Drosophila melanogaster: one gene and its partners. The protein of the gene in region 1 interacts with the protein of each later gene in a pairwise test. Each region holds a gene or a part of one and is shown in the gene's direction. Other genes may lie near its edges. The genes, in order: CG13627, Cdc5, mahe and CG11349.

What was found.
Region 2: the proteins of CG13627 (region 1) and Cdc5 interact in a two-hybrid assay, tested with the Drosophila melanogaster proteins (one large-scale study listed by BioGRID).
Region 3: the proteins of CG13627 (region 1) and mahe interact in a two-hybrid assay, tested with the Drosophila melanogaster proteins (one large-scale study listed by BioGRID).
Region 4: the proteins of CG13627 (region 1) and CG11349 interact in a two-hybrid assay, tested with the Drosophila melanogaster proteins (one large-scale study listed by BioGRID).

The regions. Positions count from the first base shown.
Region 1 is NT_033777.3:24,710,858-24,717,938, forward strand, and holds CG13627 (uncharacterized protein), read left to right. Parts: upstream 1-1,922; 5' UTR 1,923-2,049; coding exon of another isoform or gene 2,050-2,118; 5' UTR 2,119-2,234; coding exon 2,235-2,240; intron 2,241-3,926; exon of another isoform or gene 3,927-4,120; coding exon of another isoform or gene 4,121-4,126; intron 4,127-4,192; coding exon 4,193-4,750; intron 4,751-4,860; coding exon 4,861-6,228; intron 6,229-6,289; coding exon 6,290-6,451; 3' UTR 6,452-6,573; downstream 6,574-7,081. Other genes in the region: CG46316 (uncharacterized protein), read left to right, coding at 2,050-2,118; Polr2L (RNA polymerase II, I and III subunit L), read left to right, coding at 6,761-6,855, 6,939-7,047.
Region 2 is NT_037436.4:357,337-363,202, reverse strand, and holds Cdc5 (cell division cycle 5), read left to right. Parts: upstream 1-1,819; 5' UTR 1,820-2,074; coding exon 2,075-2,119; intron 2,120-2,188; coding exon 2,189-2,454; intron 2,455-2,513; coding exon 2,514-3,958; intron 3,959-4,017; coding exon 4,018-4,706; 3' UTR 4,707-4,803; coding exon of another isoform or gene 4,804-5,172; 3' UTR 5,173-5,352; downstream 5,353-5,866. Other genes in the region: CG1233 (uncharacterized protein), read right to left, coding at 1-776, 862-1,450, 1,504-1,545; Roc1b (regulator of cullins 1b), read right to left, coding at 4,804-5,172; CG1231 (uncharacterized protein), read right to left, coding at 5,744-5,866.
Region 3 is NC_004354.4:7,928,383-7,933,034, reverse strand, and holds the start of mahe (maheshvara), read left to right. Parts: upstream 1-1,652; 5' UTR 1,653-2,161; intron 2,162-2,719; 5' UTR 2,720-2,732; coding exon 2,733-4,241; intron 4,242-4,478; coding exon 4,479-4,652. Other genes in the region: Dhdds (dehydrodolichyl diphosphate synthase subunit), read left to right, coding at 1-498, 741-986.
Region 4 is NT_037436.4:4,471,305-4,475,607, forward strand, and holds CG11349 (uncharacterized protein), read left to right. Parts: upstream 1-1,763; 5' UTR 1,764-1,772; coding exon 1,773-1,775; intron 1,776-1,833; coding exon 1,834-3,720; 3' UTR 3,721-3,791; downstream 3,792-4,303. Other genes in the region: CG32248 (uncharacterized protein), read left to right, coding at 461-463, 535-1,080.

The DNA.
Region 1 (7,081 bases):
ATTATCATACTCGTAAATGTGAAGCTATGCAGCATTTTACTGTAGTTAGATTTTTTGTATAGAATCAACGTTTGCAGATAAAAACCAAAACGAAAACCGAAACTAATATGATAATTTTACAGGTTTAAGGCGGAAATGTTCATTTTTTTAAGGAATAACGATATTAAGATATCATAATTAACATAACAAATTGCAACTAAAAAACCAAGCAAAAAAAGAAAAACGAAAAAATATTTTTTATAATTTCGCAGCACTTTCACATGATACCCGCACACGCACACATACACATCCGGCAATGTGTGCTAAATAAATTGTATAAATAATGCAAACCCAAAAAAAAAAAAAACAATGCAAATCATATTAATGTAGTTACATTTTTTTAGTTTTTACTCGCTATTTATATGAGGTATATTTACACAACGGAAAACGTAAAAGTAGACATAAATAAAACGTAAAAAGCGATAAAAAAAATTCATTAATTTACATTGAAATTAAAGTAAACTAAACCGAAATCAGAGCAGAAAGCATAAAATGACAAATTAGTTTAAAATGGTCCTGCAAAGGCAAAAACAACAAAAAATAAACAACATTTTAAATAACAAATTGAAGAGCTAAAAATGCATATTTTAAACATTTGTCTAAAACGCAACCGAAAGAAAAAACCAAAAGAAATGATAAATGTATGAAATAAAAGGTATAATAATAATATTATGTTGTTAATGTTTAAAAAACCTTGTTAAAAATAATATTTCAAAATAAAATATAAATACGGAAAAAAATAGCAAAGAAATTACCACCAAACTGAGAGCTTTATGAAAGTGAAATTTTGATTTATGTCCCAAAACTTTGGGCCGCCAAATACTGACCCAAAAAATGGCTGGCCGGGCGTTATAAAATTCCAATGACCAATTGCGTTTAGAAATTGGATGTCGCGCCTTGCATAAAATGCGACCAATTATTGGGGAGCGTTTCATAAGCATGTCTCATTATCATCGAAGGGCCTTTGGTATATGTACATCCGAAATGTGAAGCCTATCATACGGAATCCATTGGTTATGGAAATTGCATCCATTCGTTTTTGGGACACATCTGAATTAAGTTACATTACCATCAAATATCGCTTAAAATACAGCTCAAGCTTTTCTACGAAACCCTTAGCCCCCAATTGAGCTGACTTCCGTACAAAAACTAATTCGAAAAAGCTTTCACGCATTCCTTTGAGTCTTCGACGAGTTTAGCCAGATATTTAATGCAGTTAAATATGAGTTTAAAATTATTGGAAAAATATTGGCAACATCTTAAAAAGTATGAAAATGTTATAATAATATCTTATTATTCCCAAAATATTGTTTGGTTCCGCTTTAAAATGTTTGCTATTTTCCCCACTGTGCCTGCCGCATTTCGTAATTTCAATCGGTGGCTCTGCTCCTGTTTGCTGCCCCAGCAAAAAAAAAGACTTAAAAAGTGGGGCCAACAGGTGACAGACGGCGGCATTGGGGGGCCATCTCTTGATCATGTGCGCCTGGTCCGCATTGCTTTTTAAGGTAAAGAGCGAGTGCTGACTTGCGACGACAACAAGTTCGCTGCTTAAGTCTTTTGTTTGGCGCCGTCTCTTTCGCTCCTTTCTTTCGCCGGCCAAGAACAGTCAATGGGAAAACACTTTCGTTGCGATTAATCGGCCACTTGCTGGCAATTCATGTAGCTGCTGGTCGCGTGCTGCGCTTTATCCACTGCAAACTAGTTTTATTTGTTGGCTTTTTATTTATTTTATTTTTTTTTTTTTGTATTTCATTCGGCGCCAGAGTCAAGAAAATCCGACCACTTTCTTCAGTGCGCACTTCCAATGCGAGTCGTCACTCCATTCCAGTGGAACTCCAGCGGATGGGCACATGGTTTTTGTCCGCCACCAGCGACCAACTAACAGTCAGTTGTCTTCGCGACTTGAACAGGTGCGGACGTCGCTGCTCCTCGAATTTATATTCGAAACTCTTTACAAATCTTTTGTGCGTGCAGTTTAAGATCGAAGAAAGCGCCGCGGCGCTCGTTGACATGAAGTTAATTGACGTGATTATATACCTAATTGCCATTTTGATCTTCATCTATTTGCTGCTGGAGTAGCAGAAGAAGCCAAAAGTTGCTCGACATTTGCCCCAGAGCTTTCTACAGTCTACCAGATCCATCAGCCAGCTACCCGACAATAAAACAACGAAAATCTCTAGCAAATCCGAAAGAAGATGAGGGTAAGTGATTCACGCGGGTATTGTGAGTTTGTTGGCCACAATTAGCGGTTATTAAAAAGTCTCTCACTGCGCACAGCATAACACAATAATGGATTGGCTTTAATTTCTATTGCAAATTCAATGGCATTTCTTCTTCTCATCGGCGATCAACGACTTCAGACTGAGATTGGCATTCAAATTTGGTATCACCTTCACCTTCGCCAGCAAAGCCAGCAAATTGCAATCGCTGCACAATGAAGCTGTAGCTTCTTCAATTGAATTGAAGTCGTCGGAATATTTGTCAAATTGCAAGGTGGCCGGCAAAGCGAGCACTTTCATTTGCAATGGGAGCACTTGATGCGCCAAGTTTCGCCAAGATCCAGACAATGGATGGCTTTACGTGCACCAATTGCATCGCACACTGTGAGTTGCAAGCTGCAAACTGTGAGGCACAGGCGGCTGCCTCAATGTGCAGCGGGCTTGAAAATAAAATGCTTGCCGCTAAAATAAAAGTTGCATTTCGAGTTGCAATTTGGGTTAACCACACCGTTGTTTATGGTCGACGCTGTGGCGACAGCCCGCTGATCAATAGTTCCGCCTAGGCCGTTGGCAAAAATCCTTTGTCAGGTTCAATGGCACTGCCGGCCAAGCCCAAAAGGAAACCCGAAATTATGCGAATTCCATTTGGACTTTCGTTGAACGGGTTATCCGCCGTCGCCGTGGGCCATTCCCTGCCAGACTTTTCAGTGTTTGGCATCGGGCACCCGTCTCCTGGCAGCAGTTCATTCACCAGCAGGCCGCCCCTGGTATTTGCATATGATTATGATGCATGTTGCAATGGCGACAAACTAACTAACTTACTAACTAACCACTCCATAAACAATAAGCCACCAATTTTGTGGCAATTACCCCGATCACCGCCGCTGCAGTCAGTTTCAGTTGCAATCGGCAATCCGTTTAAGCAAACGCAGCACGTAATCAATAACTATACGTATTGGACTCGCCTAGGCATTTCACCTCTTGATTGACGTCTGGCTAACGGCACACCGTATTGCCATTGTCATTGCCGCCGCTCCGGTGGCTCCAGTGGCTCTGCTGGTGCGCTGCCCAGGTGAAATTTCAATGTCCAGTGGCCGCCTCAAATTACCCACTTCCCCTTCCATCGACGAGACTAAAGAGACCCATGCCAGCCGCGCTGAAGAGGCACATACTCATTCTTTTCAAGGAATAACATGCATTTCATTTTAATGGTTCCTATATATGTTTCTATAAAAATCTGACATTTTACGCCTTAATAAATTTATTAGATGCATGATATGTATTTCTTTCTTCGTTATTGTGTTATACCTAAACTAATAGAGCCATTCCCTTTAACCTATATAAAATGCATGAAAAATCCAAAATACTCGTATATAACGTATAAGGTAGGCTGTAAGTTTCTAAAGCCAATTTCAATGAAAGTGTCACCAAATGAGTCAGTGATGCATTATACCCGCCGAATTGTAAACAATGCGACAGTAAAATTTATAGAACGAAGACATTTCGATGACGGACTTTTCACTTTCATTCTATGGCATTGTGGACAGAAAGTTTAATCAGCCATCGAAGCGGGGAAAATGGGCAAAGTATTATGGCATACCCGTATAAATATATATGTATGTATATTTATAAATGCGAAGCTACTTTGTTTGGCTCGTTTGCTTAAGCAGCTTTGGTTAAGTAGCCAATGGCAGGCGACGTGATAAAATTTTAGAAAACCGCCAATTTGTTCAAATTAAGGCCATTACAGTTTTGTTGCTGTCCAGCGATTACAAGACCCTCCTCCTTCCTCACCGCCCCTTTTTTTCTTCTTCGCCTTTGCCGGGCTTAGAAAGTTTTTATTTCTTTCGGCGTTTTGTTCGATGTCTGTATGTACGAGTAATTATGTTTTTGATTTAATGGTCTTTGACATTGTCCCATCCCATCCTCGCCAGCCATTTCTGCTGTTCGCACTGCTCCTGGCGCTGGCTAACTGCGAGCAGCGTCCACTGGTTTTCACCAACTGGCCACCGAAGAGCTCCAAGCAGCTGAGTCGTCCCGCCATTGGAGCTGGAGGTCCTGGATCCGCTGGAGCGCCTGGAAAGCAGCGCACGCTGGTCGTCCAAATACGCAGCGATCAACCGGTGCCCTTGGTACTGAAGGGTCGTCCTGGACATGGAGCGCACAGCCATGCCGCCCATCTGGCCCATCCGCATTCCGTGCATCCTGCACATGTCCTGTCGCACGCCCATTCACATGCCCATCTACACTCGCATCCGCTGATCCATGTGCCACATCAGTACCAGCATCAGCACCTACGCGGACCACCTCGTCCCATGAAGCTGAGTGGTCCGTCGCCCGTGTACCTGAAACCAGCTGGATCTCTAAGGAAACCACTGAAGATCAAACTGAACAATGTGAAGCCCAAGACGAAACCCACATTCGGATACGACAAGCCCTTTAAGTACGAGAAGCCCACTGCTGTGAGCTACAGCGAGCTGCAGAATCTGCCGGTAAGTGGAGTCCATTGAAAATGTCCTGCTCTTAAGATATCCTTATACTGCACATGCCCCCCACTCCCCTGAACATATAACATAACTCCATTCATGCTGATCCCCCACAGCTGGACACGCACAACAACTTCAACACCGAGCACTTTGCACCCATTTACACGGTACCCGCACCGAACCTGGCCGACAATCACCTGGACGTGGAGGAGGGTCATCTTGACACCTCCTACCTGTACAAGCCTCCTTCCCAGACCCAGATCCAAACACCATCCTCCTCAGCCCGTCCCCAGACATATTTGCCACCGAAGTACAGTGTGCATGAGGACGAGACCAATGACCAAACCATTCGTGATCCCATTTCGGGTTCGCAGAAACTCTTTGCCCCAGATCCGGATCCCTCGCTGCCCACCACCAAGATTCGCCCCGCCACCGAATCTTTCAATACGCCCAGCAACAACAAACCGCTGCCCGCCGACGTCCAGAGTAACCATCTGCCAGCCCAGCCATTGGTTCAGATTGTGGGAGCCCAGACGGCAGCCCAAACGGCGCCAGAGATCTATCCCATTCAGTATGCCCAGCCGGCGGTTCACTCCCAGTCCTTTATCGCCGCCATTCCGGCTGCCCACATTCCCATCTATAATCCCACCTACCTGGTGACGCAGTCCAACCAACTGTACTCGGCCCACAAGCAGCAGCTTTTCAAGCCCAGCTCGGAACCGGTGGTGGAAACGGGTTACGTGAACGCCGATCTCACCCAGGAGGTAGCCAGCAATGGACAGATACTGCAGGCAGCCAAGGATCCACATCACAACATCCATCCTGTACTTGATTCGGCGCCACAATATGCTGCTCTTATTGCCGCTCCGGCACTGGGTGATCCCAATGAGGGTGCCTACGAGACGGCCTCCTTCCACCTGCCCAATGTGGCGTCAGCGGTCACTGCCTCCGTTCCGGAAGGTGGCTTCGTGGTGTCCAACTTCTATGGCCATGCCCACGACTCTTCCCAATTGCTGCAGGCCTACGCAGAGGAGGAGGCACGTCGACAGCAACTGGAAACAGAGCAAGCCGCCATTGAGCTGCAAAAGCAGCAGCAGTTGCATCTGGAGGAGCTTAAGGCGCAGGCCCAGGAGCAACAGCAGCAGCATCAGCTGCATCTGGAGGAGCTGAGGGCTCAGGCGCAGTACCAGCAGCAGCAACAGCAGCAGTTCGAGGAACTGCAGGCACAGGCACAGGAGCAACACTTGCAGCAGCAACACCAGCAGCATCAGTTGCAGCTCTTGCAATTGCAGCAGCAGCAACAGCAGTTGCAGCAACCAGTGCAGCACCATCCGCCGCAGCAGCTGCAACAGCAGCAGCAGCAGCAGGTGGCTCAGGATCCAGCAGCAAGTGCATTCGAGGAGCACCAGCGATTGGTGCAGCAGCAACTTGGCGCCAACACGCCACTTCGCATCTTTGTGCCCGACGAGGAGGCCGCCGAATCGGTAGGTAAAATTAGACAAGAAATTCTTCCGTATGCTAACATTTGAGACTTTCCTTGTATAGCGACTGCAAAAGAGATCGGATGATGTGAAAAAGGGCACGGTGGAGGATGTGTCCAGTGCGGGTCGGAACGACGGCGACAGCGAGGAGTCAGCCAAAGATTTGTTCGAGGTATCCACCTCCGTCGAAGTGGCCGGCGAGCATCTCACGGCCAGCAGTAATTAGTTAACGCACTTTTAGTCTTCGACGCTGTTCAAAAATATTTATTTACACACTCATTTGTAAAAAACGCATTCATGTAGCGAGCAGTCGGTAGTTAATAAAAATAACCATTAATTTATTCAAATATTCGTTAGCGTTCTTTTTGAATGGATATAAGTTTTTGTGTTATCGATACATTGTAATGCTGGTGAGATAAAAATACAACTGCACTCTGGTCACACTCATGACAAGTAAAAACACATTTTACCAAAAACATTGTTGTGATTGCACATTTTTCGTGATTTAACTAAGAATTAGAGCCTGATCTACAAAATGATTATTCCAATCCGTTGTTTCACCTGCGGCAAGGTCATTGGCAACAAGTGGGAGTCGTATTTGGGTCTCCTGCAAGCGGAATACACCGAAGGGTAAGTCACGCGGGAAAGTCTCCTTTCCACGCCGCATTTCATCATATAATATATATATATTATATCTTACAATCCAATCCCAGAGATGCCCTGGATGCTTTGGGTCTAAAGAGGTACTGCTGCCGTCGCATGCTCCTGGGCCACGTGGATCTTATCGAAAAACTGCTCAACTATGCTCCTCTGGAGAAGTGAACGGCACAATGGAAACCATCCAAACTGGACTTGG
Region 2 (5,866 bases), on another chromosome or scaffold:
TCCATTGCCATTCAGCACAGAATCAAAGGGAAATGCCTCGGAACACATCTGTGCGAGCGGGGCGAGGCTGGGCTCGAATCCTGGAAGCTGACACGTGGGCGTTAGTAGTGTCTCCGACTGGAAGACATCACCATCTGCTCCTCCTACAACCAGGCCACTTTGTCCTGGCTCTGCTGCCGACGGCATGGTGCTATTGAATCCCAGACCGGGCAGAGCAGATGGCAAAACCATCGGTTCCTTGAGGATGTCTACATTGCGGATATAAATCTTCGGCTGGCGCGGCTTCTCCGGCTCCCCGACAACATCAGGAACTTCAGGGAGACTATTGTCCGTATTGACCGAATGGTTCTGCAGCTGGAAGTCGAACGGCAGCAAAGCGGTCTCCCTGAGCACGTCCACGCTCTTGATGGAGATCTTCTGGATGGGCTTTGGCGGCGGAGCTGGTAAATTCGCAGCAGGTGCTGTTGGCATTGTCTGTTCGGTCGGCGATGCACCTACAGCCACACCTTCCAGCAGATCAAGAATGTTAGCGGCGGACCCGCTATCCGGCATTAAGGGCGGGAAATCCGGGAGTGGCTCCCTTAGGCAATCTACGCTTTTTATAAAGATGCGGCTCTTGGGTCGATTTTGGCTCTGCGACATCTGAGTCTGCTTTTTAGTTTGTGCTTCAGTGACTTTTCTGCCCATAAGCGCAAGTGTCTCACTGTCCTCCATTTGATGGTCCAAGCTGAGGTGCAAGCTGAGCGCATCGCTGGTGTAGAAAATGTTTGAGCAGCCTGTCGAAAAACACGTGAAAAGTGAATGCAAATATGATGAAGCATTCCAGCAGAGCACTCATATTGAAGGCGCACTATGCCTCACCTGGACACTGTTTCCTGTGCTGCTCCATATAGCAGTTGCCCTGACTAAGGTGTTGCTGAAGACGCATCTGGCAGAGGCTTAAGAATGGACAATTAGGACAGCGCAGGATAAGAGGCGGACCCTCCTGAATGATTGCCTTGCCCTCCACGCTGGCGCAGCTGGAATTTCGAGTTGGTGGCGTTGGCGTGGCATTCAGGCGATCCTTGGCTGCCGCTTCCGCAAGTTCCGACTTGATTAGTTCCTCCGACTTAATTTCCGCTGTACGCCTGCGGAAGGCATTGCGGTAGCTTTTCTCTGGTTGCTGCAAGTCGGTGGTGTGGATCTGGACAAAGGGAATGCCCTGATTGGGCTGGGACTCCACCGCCACCTCAGTAGGTGATCGATTCCCGCCATCGGCCAGCCACAAAGTAGTTCCAGAAGGGGTGGTGTTTGCAGCAGACGCGGAGGCAGATCCGGATCCCGATCCGATGACCAGCTCTTCGTCAAAGAATCCCCCGAAGTTGGAGTCCTGCTCCAAGGAGTGAACCGGCGTGGAAAGCGACAGGTCTTGGTGCGGATGTGTAGGATGCGGATGCGACAACGGGAGCAGCTGGAAGACACACGGCGTGTTTTTCTGGCCAGAGGTACTCGCTGGTTGCTCACCTGGTTGCCGCCGTAATATCCCGGATAGGTCGCATCGCTCATCGTGGGTGCCTTCCTTGGTCCAGTTGATTCCCGGTGCCGGATTCCGGTTGCCGGTTGCCGGTTTTCCGCTTCCTGGGCACACGCCTCTTAATTCCGCATCACAAAAATTGGCATTACGCAGAAAAAAAACTTTTCATCACAAAATAACTGATAGCGAACAGCTGTTGCTGTACACAGTGTGGCAGCGGTGTTTGCACAACTATATTCGGTCACACTGTCGCGTTATGTTATGTCGTGTGTATAGGCCCTTTATTAAATTGAATAATTTAAGTTACCAATATTAAGACCGAAGTTAAATCAAACGGTATACGAAGACTAAATACAATATAATGAAATTTTTTTGTACTAAGCTAGAATAGTTTAACTAGAGGTTCTATAAATATACCAAAACGTGCTGGAGATATCGCTGTTATCGAAGACTAACCATCGCTAGCGGCTACTGCAAAAAAAAGAGCGGAGTTTCGTGGACTCGAGTGAAAATTGTGAAAATCCATTGTATACGCGACAGAAAGCAACATAAGGCCCCAGAATGCCGCGAATAATGATCAAGGGCGGCGTGTGGCGCAACACGGAGGTAATTATCCCAATAGTCTATCGGTTAACCACACATGGCTTACATTGGCTACCGATTTCATTTTCCCAGGATGAAATCCTCAAAGCTGCGGTTATGAAATATGGCAAGAACCAGTGGAGTCGAATTGCCTCCCTCCTGCACAGAAAGTCCGCCAAGCAGTGCAAGGCCAGGTGGTACGAGTGGCTGGATCCCAGCATCAAGAAGACCGAGTGGTCCCGTGAGGAGGACGAGAAACTGCTCCACTTGGCCAAGCTGATGCCGACGCAGTGGCGCACCATAGCCCCGATCATCGGACGGACGGCAGCCCAGTGCCTGGAGCGCTATGAGTACTTGCTGTGAGTCCAACGCACAACATACTAAGTAGAAAATTTCTGATCCCTTTCCTGCCGTACAGAGACCAAGCCCAACGCAAAGAGGATGGCGAGGACACGATGGATGATCCTCGCAAGTTGAAGCCCGGAGAGATTGACCCCAATCCAGAGACCAAGCCGGCGCGGCCCGATCCCAAGGACATGGACGAGGACGAGCTGGAAATGCTGTCCGAGGCACGCGCCCGCTTGGCCAACACGCAAGGCAAGAAAGCCAAGCGCAAGGCTCGCGAAAAGCAACTGGAGGAAGCCCGCCGCCTGGCCACTCTCCAAAAGCGGCGCGAACTTCGTGCCGCCGGAATTGGCAGCGGAAATCGCAAGCGGATCAAGGGAATAGACTACAACGCCGAGATTCCCTTCGAAAAGCGACCTGCCCACGGATTCTACGACACTTCCGAGGAACACTTGCAGAAAAATGAACCCGACTTCAACAAGATGCGGCAGCAGGACCTAGATGGAGAACTCCGCTCAGAGAAGGAGGAACGCGAACGCAAGCGGGACAAGCAGAAGCTGAAGCAGCGCAAAGAGAATGAAGTGCCCACCGCAATGCTGCAAAACATGGAGCCCGAGCGGAAGCGCTCCAAACTAGTCCTGCCTACGCCGCAGATTTCCGACATGGAACTACAGCAGGTAGTCAAGCTGGGACGCGCCAGTGAGATGGCAAAGGAAATTGCCGGTGAGAGCGGCATAGAGACGACGGATGCTTTGCTAGCCGACTACTCCATTACACCCCAGGTAGCAGCCACTCCACGTACTCCGGCTCCGTACACCGATCGCATCATGCAGGAGGCCCAAAACATGATGGCCCTCACCCACACAGAGACGCCACTCAAAGGTGGCCTGAACACACCGCTGCACGAGTCAGACTTCTCCGGCGTGCTGCCCAAGGCGGCCTCCATCGCCACGCCTAACACAGTGATTGCCACGCCGTTTAGAACCCAACGCGAGGGCGGAGCAGCCACTCCCGGCGGATTCCAAACGCCCTCCTCCGGAGCCCTAGTTCCCGTAAAGGGGGCAGGAGGGGCTACGGGTGTCGTCAATACACCTGCCTACGTGAGGGACAAGCTAAGCATCAATCCTGAGGAGAGTATGGGCGTCACCGAGACCCCAGCACATTACAAAAACTACCAAAAGCAACTAAAGTCTACACTGCGTGACGGTCTCTCCACGCTGCCCGCTCCACGGAATGACTATGAGATCGTGGTGCCTGAGCAGGAGGAAAGCGAACGCATTGAGACCAACTCAGAACCCGCCGTCGAGGATCAGGCGGATGTCGACGCCAGGTTATTGGCTGAACAAGAGGCGCGCCGAAAGCGAGAGCTAGAGAAGCGCTCCCAGGTTATTCAGCGTAGTCTCCCGCGACCAACTGAAGTGAACACCAAGATTCTGCGACCGCAGTCCGAGAAACAGAACCTTACGGAACAGCAGCAGGCCGAAGAGCTGATTAAACACGAAATGATCACCATGCAGCGTGAGTAAACCCAACGTTTCCATTTTAACCCAAGTAACTAACGTCCTTTTTCTTGGCAGTGTACGACTCGGTCAAGGATCCCGTGCCTGGTCAATCGCAGCACAAGTTGGAACAGCTACAAAGCTACTTTAAGGCCAATCCCTACGAGGACATCTCGCAGCAAGAGTTGGCGAAGGCCAAGCAAATGCTCACCGAGGAAATGGAGGTGGTGAAGGAGCGCATGGCGCATGGCGAACTGCCCCTAGACGTTTATGCCCAGGTGTGGCAGGAGTGCCTCGGCCAGGTTCTTTACCTACCCTCCCAACATCGCTACACACGCGCCAATTTGGCCAGCAAGAAGGATCGATTAGAGTCTGCCGAGAAACGGCTGGAGACAAATCGCCGCCACATGGCCAAGGAAGCCAAGCGCTGCGGCAAGATCGAGAAGAAGCTGAAGATTCTCACCGGCGGCTACCAGGCGCGCGCCCAGGTGCTGATTAAGCAGCTTCAGGACACGTACGGCCAGATTGAGCAGAACTCTGTCTCACTCTCGACATTCCGCTTTTTGGGCGAACAGGAGGCCATCGCTGTGCCGCGACGCCTGGAATCGCTGCAAGAGGACGTGCGTCGCCAGATGGACCGCGAGAAGGAGCTGCAGCAAAAGTACGCTAGCTTAGTGGAGGAGCGCGATTCGCTTTACTCTCAAATCGAACATATAACTGGCGTCAGGCCCACGGCCCAGCAACTCCTGCCCGACCAGGAAGCGTAAACCTTCTTTTGGAACCCAAGTCCGTTCTTATTTAATTACAGTAATTACATGCCAGCAAACAGCTATCACCACCTAATATCCCGATCCATATTCCTCGCTAGCGGCCGTACTTCTGGTAGACCCACTCCTTGTTGTCCAGCGGACAGACCAGGCGCGTTTTCAACCAGCGCGCGATGCAGTGGTAATGGAATGCGTGGTTGCACTCGCCCCAAGCCACAGTGCACTCGTCTTGGTTTGCATTCGGGTCCGCCTGGCACTCGATGCACAGGTTCATGATGTGGTTACGGCAGATGGCACAGTTGTCCACTGCTACGTCCCATCCCCACATGGCGTGCGCAACCCATTTCTTCACCACAAAGCGCTCCGTCCTGGCCTGGACAGCTCCTCCACTACAGGATGGCTCTTCGTCATTGAAGTCCATGTCGTGGAAGTCCTCCGTCTCCTCAACCTCTATCTCCTCGGCCATGGTGTGAAATTACGAATTTTTTTTCTTTTTCAAAATACAACACTTATTTTCGTATTCGAATTTGATTTGAACTATTTTAAATTCCATTTGTTTTTGGCCTGACAGTTAATAAAAAAAAGTTGACCACTACCGATTTATCTACGAAATAACAACGGCGAATAATTTTAAAAATAAATGCAGAAAAGAAATTAAACCTTGTGATCATATTAAGTGGGGCTCAAGAAAGCTTATCATCGGTAAACCACTTTTGAATCCCTAAATTTAGACAATTTTTTTAAACAAGAAAGAATGTTATAGTCGAATTTCTCGACTATCAGATACCAGATAGTGGGAGTGAGTTTGAGAGAGAAATTTCAAAATTATCTTGGCATATCGATAGAAATTTGTATTCCTTTTAACGAGTTTAATATACCCCTCTATGAGTAATGGGTATGATAACAAATTACGGTTTTTATAATGCCTTTCTTAAACAAAATAGCTGTTTCCCAAACTCGAATGTCATTATTATTAAGGAAGCTTTACTGCTAACGGGAAGTCATGGCTTAGGCTTAGGGTATATCAAATAAATTCTTTACACGTTCTTCTCAGTTTGGGAAAGGTTTTTTACCCTCTTCAGGTGCTTCTTGCCAATAAAGTGCTGTTGCAAGGTGCTCTCATGGTTCATCATCATGTTGCAGGGCTGGCAGTAGTACTG
Region 3 (4,652 bases), on another chromosome or scaffold:
CGGGGATTCGAGAAGCTTGCGGACTGCCTGCGCTGGTGCCTGGACGTTGGCGTCCGCGAGGTGACCACCTTTGCCTTCAGCATCGAGAACTTCAAGCGTTCCAACGAGGAGGTGGAGGGTCTGTTCAATTTGGCCAGAGAGAAGTTTGCCCGCCTGCTGGAGGAGACTGCTCGACTGGACGAACATGGCATCCGCATTCGGGTGATTGGTAACATCGAGCTACTGCCACACGACTTGCAGAAACTAGTGGCTTCGGCTATGCTTAGCACGGAGCGCAATGACAAGCTCTTCCTGAACGTCGCCTTTGCGTACACGTCGCGGGATGAGATTACGCAGGCGGTGGAAACGATACTGCGGCATGGCAGCCAGGATTTGGCGGGCGAGGACATCAGTGAGCGGTTGCTGGAAGAATGCCTCTACACGCGACACTCGCCGCCACCGGATCTGGTGTTCCGCACCTCCGGCGAGACTAGGCTAAGCGACTTCATGATGTGGCAGGTGTGTAGAAGGATCTCTTCCAGGAACAGTTGTTTTTAGTCACCCCCTTTGGCAGATTTCCCACTTATTTAGTTTGATTAGTGATTAAGTAGTTACCTGTGCCCAATGTTCATTCGTTGAATTTCGCTCTGCGATTGCATCATTTTTATAAAATGCATTTAAAAATTGAGATCTTGACAGTTTTGCGGTCTTTGATAAAGTGGAAAAGCTTAAATATTAAACGACTGTTTTTACCATTTCAGTTAAGCACATCCGTGTTGTACTTCAGCAACGTCCTGTGGCCGCAGATCACTTTCTGGCATTTCCTGGCCAGCATTCTGGCCTACCAGCGTGATCGCTGGCAGCTGGACGACTTTCGGCGAGCGGAGAGGATGCAGAGCTGCCAGCTGGCCAAGGCGACTGACTTCTACAGCGAACGCGTCCAGAATTTCCTGACCACCATCGATGAGGATCGGCGGAAGCTGCTTGTGCGACTGGCCGCCAACTAAGTCCCTTCTGAAGTCCCGCCTGAAGTCCCTTCGATTTCCACATGATGATGATGTTTGTGATATCAGTGGGGAATAAAATCGTGTAAATAGCGTATACCTGTACGTACAGATGCTACTGTTTTCCGGCCTATGCAATAAGGCTATCCGCCTTTCAATATATGTGCCGTTGGAGATTTCATCACCTAAATGCACTTGTTTAAGACATTCAATTAATTTGTAGCCGAATTGTGGGCTTAGCTAGATTGTTTTCACTTTCGGTCGTAAAAAGTGTTTGCCTTCCATTTGATAAGTAAATTAAAGAATTAAAAAAAAAGCAACAATTTGTTTAAATGTGGAGGGGGGAAAGGAATAATTCCAAATTTATGTAAATTGCAATATAACACCCACTTATATTTGTATATTTTATATATATGTACATATGTGTAGCCTTTTAAGAATTGGTATCACAAAACTTTTTTTACGTGCTTAATTTATTTTTATCTAGATATCATTCTTGTATTTTTTATATATCAATTTATTTTGGTAACTCGCTAAATGTTTTTTAATTTTAGTATTTGTTGGTTTTAAATTTTAGCGGTAAATTAAGTGCAATAATGGTTAAACAATATTTATCGATAGTTTTGCAGGTAACTATCGATGCCAAAATACATCGAACGTATCCCATCACCATTGACTTTTGTTCCAGCTTTACAGTTCACATGCAACTTTCTGCTGAGCGCGTTTTTTTTTGTTATAAAAATCTAAAATACAAGAATTAGATTTAGCGAACTGGCTCCTAGTGTTTAACCAAGTACACCTTTAGTTAGCATTACGGTTACTTTCCCGTGGCGAAGGAATAATTGCAAAACCATTAGCTCTCGACAAAAGTTGTGCGAAGCAAAAAGAGAAGTTCGCGAGAAGAAGACGCCTGTGAGCGTGACGAAGAGAGCCGAGCGAGAGAGTGAAGAATATCGAATCGAACGGAACAGGGCCTCGAAAGAGAACGTGAAGGAAACGGATCGAAAAATCGCAGACTTTGACAACCGAAGAAAAACCCACATTCAAGACACAAAATTCCGGTTGCCTGAGGGGCAAATGTCAAATTGCGGCGCATAAATTACATTAATTTAAAGCTCCCCGCACAAGGCTCATCCAAATTTTCACACATAGGCAGCAGTTGTCGCAACAGAAAAAAGGTGAGTGCGTGTGTGTGTGTGGCGTGAAAAAGCGGTGCACTTTTTAAAAGTGTTTTTCTAACTAAATGAGAGCGTGCTCGCGCTTCTTTACCTATGCGGCGCACTCTACTTGTGTGTGTGTGGCGTGAAAACGCGGTGCACTTTTTAAAAGTGTTTTTCTAACTAAATGAGAGCATGCTCGCTCTTCTTTCCCTTTGCGGCGCACTCTACTTGTCTCTCTCGCGCCTGGTTTAGCTCTCCCGCTATTATTTTACCTCTTTGCGTCTCGTGTGCATTTGGCGATGCTGTATTGATTTTTTTCGGTGGTGGCTAGTGGGTGGGTTAAAGAACTGCCCCGCTCTTCACCATTCGAAACTAAGTCCCCCACTTCGTCCGACCCCCTCCCTCATGCCATAAAGCCCCTGCCCAAAAAGTCAAACGCGTTTCGTTTCTCTTTTTATTTTTACTCTGAGAGAGAGAGAGAGGCTCTTGACAGTTACAAAAGTGCAAAGTCTTTGTGGTGGTGTGTGCGAGGTATCTCCATGCGATTTCGCTGAACTTTTGTTCATTTCTCGACAGGATTCAGCACACGATGTTCGCTGGAGCATATGCACCCAACGCTGGGGGCGTTCAGCAGCACACTGGCGGCGGTTACTATGGCAATGGTGCCGCAGCAGGCGCTGGCGGTAGCGGCAACGGGGCCCCACGCCACGAGCGTCAATACTATCCGCGCGGCAATTTCGGCGGTGCCGCCGGGGGAGCTGGCATCAATGGAGCAGCCACTGCGGCTGGAAGCATGCACTTTGGTCAGCCCTATGGCGTGATGACCTATGGCATCCAGAATGGTCTGGGAATGGGAGCCGCCGGTTCTGGTGGCGGCAATCCGTATCGCCAGCAAAACGGTGTTGCATTCGCCGGTAATGGACTTGGAGGAGGCGCCGGTGGCGGATCCGGAGGATCTGGCGGATATGGAGGACAGCGTGGCAAAAATCCAACCTACGCACAGCGTTATCAGAAGCCGAACAACGGCGCCGGAGTTGCTGGTGGCTACCAAAGCAATAACTACAATGCTGCCGCCTTAGGCATGCTTTCCAAAGAGGAGCGCGCCGAGATCCAACGTGAAAAGGCCAAAAATCCCGGCCGAAATTTAGTGAAACCCAAGTGGGAGAACCTCGAGCCCTTCCTCAAAGATTTCTACAACATTCATCCGAATACACTGGCCAAATCAGAGCAGCAGGTGGCCGAGATCCGGCGCGAACTGGAAATCACCGTGTCTGGCAATGAACTACCACACCCGGTGGTCAGTTTCGAGGAGAGCTCGCTGCCCGCTCACGTCATTGAAGAGATGAAGCGCCAGGGATTCACCAAGCCCACTGCTATCCAATCGCAGGGTTGGCCCATTGCCTTAAGTGGCCGCGATTTGGTGGGCATTGCCCAGACCGGTTCAGGCAAGACGCTGGCATACATGCTGCCTGCCATCGTGCACATTGGCAATCAGCCGCCAATAATTCGCGGCGAAGGACCCATTGCTCTAGTGTTGGCCCCCACCCGGGAGCTGGCCCAGCAGATCCAATCTGTCGTGCGAGACTATGGACATCTGTGCAAGCCAGAGATTCGTCACACTTGCATCTTTGGCGGCTCATCGAAGGTGCCGCAGGCACGCGATCTTGACCGCGGCGTCGAGGTGATCATCGCCACACCAGGACGTCTGATTGATTTCCTTGAGAATCGCAACACTAACTTGCAGAGATGCACTTATCTGGTGCTGGACGAAGCCGACCGCATGCTGGACATGGGTTTCGAGCCGCAGATCCGTAAGATCATTGAACAGATTCGTCCCGACCGTCAGGTGGTCATGTGGTCCGCAACCTGGCCAAAGGAGGTGCAGGCCCTAGCCGGAGACTTTTTAAACGATTATATCCAAATCAACATTGGTTCGATGAACCTATCGGCTAACCACAACATTCGCCAGATTGTCGAGATCTGTACAGAAATAGAGAAGCCGCAGCGCTTAGTATGCTTGCTCAATGAGATTTCTCCCATCAAGAATTCGGGAAACAATGGGAACAAAATTATCGTCTTTGTGGAGACCAAGATCAAGGTGAGTTCTAATTCGATAAATGGCTTAAAGAATTCGAAATATTCTTTCGATTTACCATTTTAAATTGTATTTGTTCTCTTTTCGTTTTACTTCGAAGGTTTATCAACATATTCTTTGTTTTTTATAGTTGCATTTTACTTGCAAAAATCCGAAATGACCCGTCAAGAATATATTGTTTATGTGATATTAATTAGAAGCACCCCACTAATTATCAACCGTTTTCTTGCCCTTATCCAGGTGGAGGACATCTTGCAGATCATTCGAGCCGAGGGTTACAACGCCACCTCAATTCACGGCGACAAGACCCAGAATGAGCGTGATTCAGTGCTAAAGGATTTCCGTAACGGCAAGTCCAACATTCTGATTGCCACCGATGTGGCTTCGCGCGGCCTCGATGTCGAGGATCTGCAG
Region 4 (4,303 bases), on another chromosome or scaffold:
TCTGGATCGATTTAAAAATAGCTCTCTGCTACTGTTTCTATTAACCCAATATCGGGTTTAGTCTTAGCAAAAGCTTGGGTGAATTAAAAAAGCTCTTCTTCAAGACGAAACCAAACTATCAGGTTTGCGATAAAATTGTTTTGGCAAAAAAATTAAGCTGTGATACGTGTATTCTTATGAATATTTATATTTAATATGACAGCAAAAAAATGAGAGTTTTAAATCCAAACTCCATGGCGTACCTAACTGATAAAAACAAGCCCCATATGGCGTCGTGGTCGAGGTATCTGTTTGCCCAATTAAACAAATTTTTCGACGCGAAGAAAAACGTTTCGTTGATTTATGATACTCAGCACTTCCGTTTGGATCCGCAGATTCTCCGACTTGTATAAAAGTACAGGAGTCGCCGGTCTAAGATATTATTCGGTTCGTTGCTCCTAAAGCAAACAGATCATCTAAAATGGTAAGGATCTCCCATCTGTATTGCGGATTATATTAGTTGGCATATTATTCTATTTCGATTTTTCCCTGTAGAAATTCTTTATCTTGACCTTGGCCGTGGTTGGCTGTGTGGCCGCCGAATCTGGCTACAACTACAATGCTCCCCGCCAGGTAGCCGCCTCTGCCCCGGCTCCTGTTTTCCAGCAAGCTGCCTCTGCTCCGGCTCCAGTGAGGACCTACGTGCCCCCAGCTCCAGCTGCCTCTGCCCCAGTGCAGTCGTTTGCCCCTGCCCCAGCTCCAGTAGCTGCTCCTGCTCCCGTTTTCCAGCAGGCCGCCTCTGCACCCGCACCAGCCCGCACATACGTGCCTCCCGCTCCCCATGTCCACCACCATGCCGCCGCCTCAGCTCCAGCTCCCGTTCAGTCCTTTGCTCCTGCTCCAGCTCCCGCCCCCGCCCCCGTGCAGTCCTTCGCCTCTGCTCCAGCTCCTGCTTTCGAGTCCTCCGGACCGGTGTTCGAGGCCGCAGCTTCCGCCCCCTCTGCCGCCCGCTCCGGATACGATTATAGCCAGCCCGCCGCCAGCCAGCAGGGATACAAGTACAAGACCGTCCGTCGCCGTGTGTTCAAGCACCGCGCTTAAACGATGATGATGATACGATAAAATGCGACAATAAAAAACTCGAATATTAAATTTATAAAAACATAGTTTTATTTGAGCATTAAAACACTAATAAAGATAATATGATAATTTGATAATTAAACAAGAATGATATGGTGTATAGTTTTAGCAAAAGAAGCGCGCAAAAAAAAAAACTATAAAACCTAAAACAACATTTCAAAAGTGCTAAAATTCTTGCTAGAAAAGAAAAAAAAAATCGCAAAATTAAATTTTATTAATAATTGTTAGTTAGTACTGGAGTGCAGTTTTTCTTATCCATAACTAACAATCAGTTGTTAATGATAAATTAGTTTGAAGCTTCAATTGTATTACTAGGCCAAATTCACACCTGGAAACGAAGTTCAAAGAACCCATGCGTTATCGCATAAGTGTGCAGCGCACTTGGGCCAATAAATTTAAACGCTTTGATCTGACAAATTTACGGGACACTTTCGTTGTGCTTCAGAATATTCAATAGAATTTAAATTGGCGGCTATTCAATAAGAACAAATGGGTCACATAAAGCGCGGAATCGATTTCTCACGCTCGGCAACAGGTTTCGCTTTCAACTGTGGTCTTTTTTGGGGGCTCGATGTGGGGATGCAACAAAAAAGATCCCGAAGAGAGTATATAAGTTGCATCTACAGCTGCTTACAGTCACTGGCACTTTAGCAATGGTAACGGATCAACGATAGGTTCTAGGTTCCGCATTTCACCAATCCATTTTTATTTTAGAATGTCCTCGTGATCCTGGTTCTATGCCTTATGGCAATCGCATGTCTGGCGGACGTTTCCCATGTGAAACACCACAAGCACCAGCGGCATCATCACTCCAGGGATCACGAAGATGACGATGAGGAGTCCCATTACCTACCTCCCCACGAGGAAAAGGAGGTGGAGCAACCTTTTTACAAGAAGGAGAAGCACACCAGTGAAAAGGTGGTTTACCACAAGGTAGAGGAGCACGAGGAGCCCAAATACTACAAGGAGCATCAACATGAAGAGCCCAAAAAGCAGCGAGTGGATCACTACCATCACTATGACAAGAAGCCAGAAGTAAAGACCCAGCACATTCACTACAAGCATAGCAAGCCCCATGTCCGTACGGATTACAATCAGGACTTGTTCACCCCAGCTGCTACCCAAGTGGTTTATCGCCGCCGTCGTCCTAGTCGAATTCTATACGCCAGTGCCCCCAACTCGGTGTTCCACACCCACACGCAGATCAACGTGCAGTCCCAGGATTCGGAATTGAATTCCCTTACTCGCCCAGATCGTGCAGCAGGAGCACAGGATCCTGCTGGGGCTCAAGCACCGACTGGAGCCCAGGCACCAGGATTTCGACCCAACTGCCAGTTTGTTGGACCTGGAAACGTACCACCTGGCTGTGGACCCTCTGATCCCATAGGTGCTCAGCTACCAGCCAGTGCTTTGGCTCCCACTGGTGCTAATCTTCCGGCCAATCAACCTGTTGCCGGCGGACAATTGGCTGTTCTGGGTAACGGTCAGCGACCTCCACGTCCAGGTGGCTATGGAGGTGGATATGGCAACCGACTCAACTTTTTTGTTGATCCTTCGCTGGGCGCTCAGCTGGGAGCCATAGGTAATGCTGGAGCTGGAAATCAACAGGCTGCCGGAGGAGGTCAGCTTGCGGGAGGAGCTCAACTTGGAGGGAGCCAAGGATTCGACCCTTCCTTTGGTGCCCAAGCAGCTGCCGGAGGACCATTTAACACTGGTTTTGGAGCTGGTCAAAGACCTCAAAGACCTGCGCAAAACCAATATGATCCCAACCTTCAGCTAGGTGGCCCTTTTGACCCCTCCGTGGGTGCTCAATTGGGCGCAGGTCAGGGTGTTTCTAACCAAAGACCAAGTGGACAGGGAGCATTTGATCCTTCTACAGGTGCTCAATTGGGCGCAGGTGAGGGTGTTTCTAACCAAAGACCAAGTGGACAGGGAGCATTTGATCCTTCTACGGGTGCTCAATTGGGTGCAGGTCAGGGCTTTAACCAGAGACCAAGTGCACAGGGAGCATTTGATCCTTCGACAGGTGCCCAACTTGGAGCTGGACAAGGCGTGCCTAACCAGCGACCCAATGCAGCTGGACCAGGAGCTTTTGATCCCAATCAGCGACAGTCCGACCCCTCCATTGGAGCCCAATTGGCAGCGGGACAAGTACCACGCCTCAACAACCGACGACAGCGCAATCGATCCAACTACCAGGGTCTCAATGTGCTGAATGGAAACGTTTTCGGACAACCCCATCTCCAGGGACCCACAAATGCGCTGGGAAATCAACAGGACACCAACATCATAGACGGCAACTTCTACAGCGATCCTCATCATGGACACCAGCGGGCTTTGGTATCGGTTAATCCTAATCAGCGTTCAGTCCTTATACCCGATGACGATGATGCGGACGATGATGGGCAGCTAGGATTTCTGGGCTTTGCGGCTAGTAACAAGCAGTCCTCTTATGTGGTTGCTCCCAAACAACTGCGATCTCATAGGCGCAGTTCAAAGCGAAACAATGTGGATCTTAAAACATCTGCTTCGGAGTACGACACTGACTATCGTGAGGATGGCTATCACTACCAGAAGCCCAAACAGTCATTCGAGTTTTAAGTATTTTAAAACAGAACATATTATAACATAAATTAAATCATACTTATCAGCATTTGCTACAAGAGCATACCAAACAAACCTTGATTACTTATTTAAAGCATACTTTCAGGCGAAAACTATGGCGGCTACTTCCGTTTCCGCTCAAGGTAGCTTTAAAGTTTGTTGAGAAATCGACACGGGTTTTCAAGCTGAGCTTTATAAATTGAGCTTTTGATTAAGCTTTACACCAGACTACAAATATCTATATTGCACATAAAAATATCCAGATATTTACCAACTATGTATATTTGATTTTTTTGTTTGCCTTTAAATTACATACATTAACATAAATATACACGTGCAAATAGATTAGGGCATTTATGTTCTGGCCATATCTGCGATTGCCTTTGATGGAAAAGGTGTATATATTGTCCATTAGGGTACGCGGAAAGGAAACTAGTTCAGAGCTATATAGAAATAGAGGCACAAAGACATTTTTTTTATAGTGAGAGAGGCAAAATGAATTGTCGACATAAATTTATGCAATCATTTAGATTCGATTCTCATGCAAATCCAATCAACTGAAATCAAAATAGAAATAAAA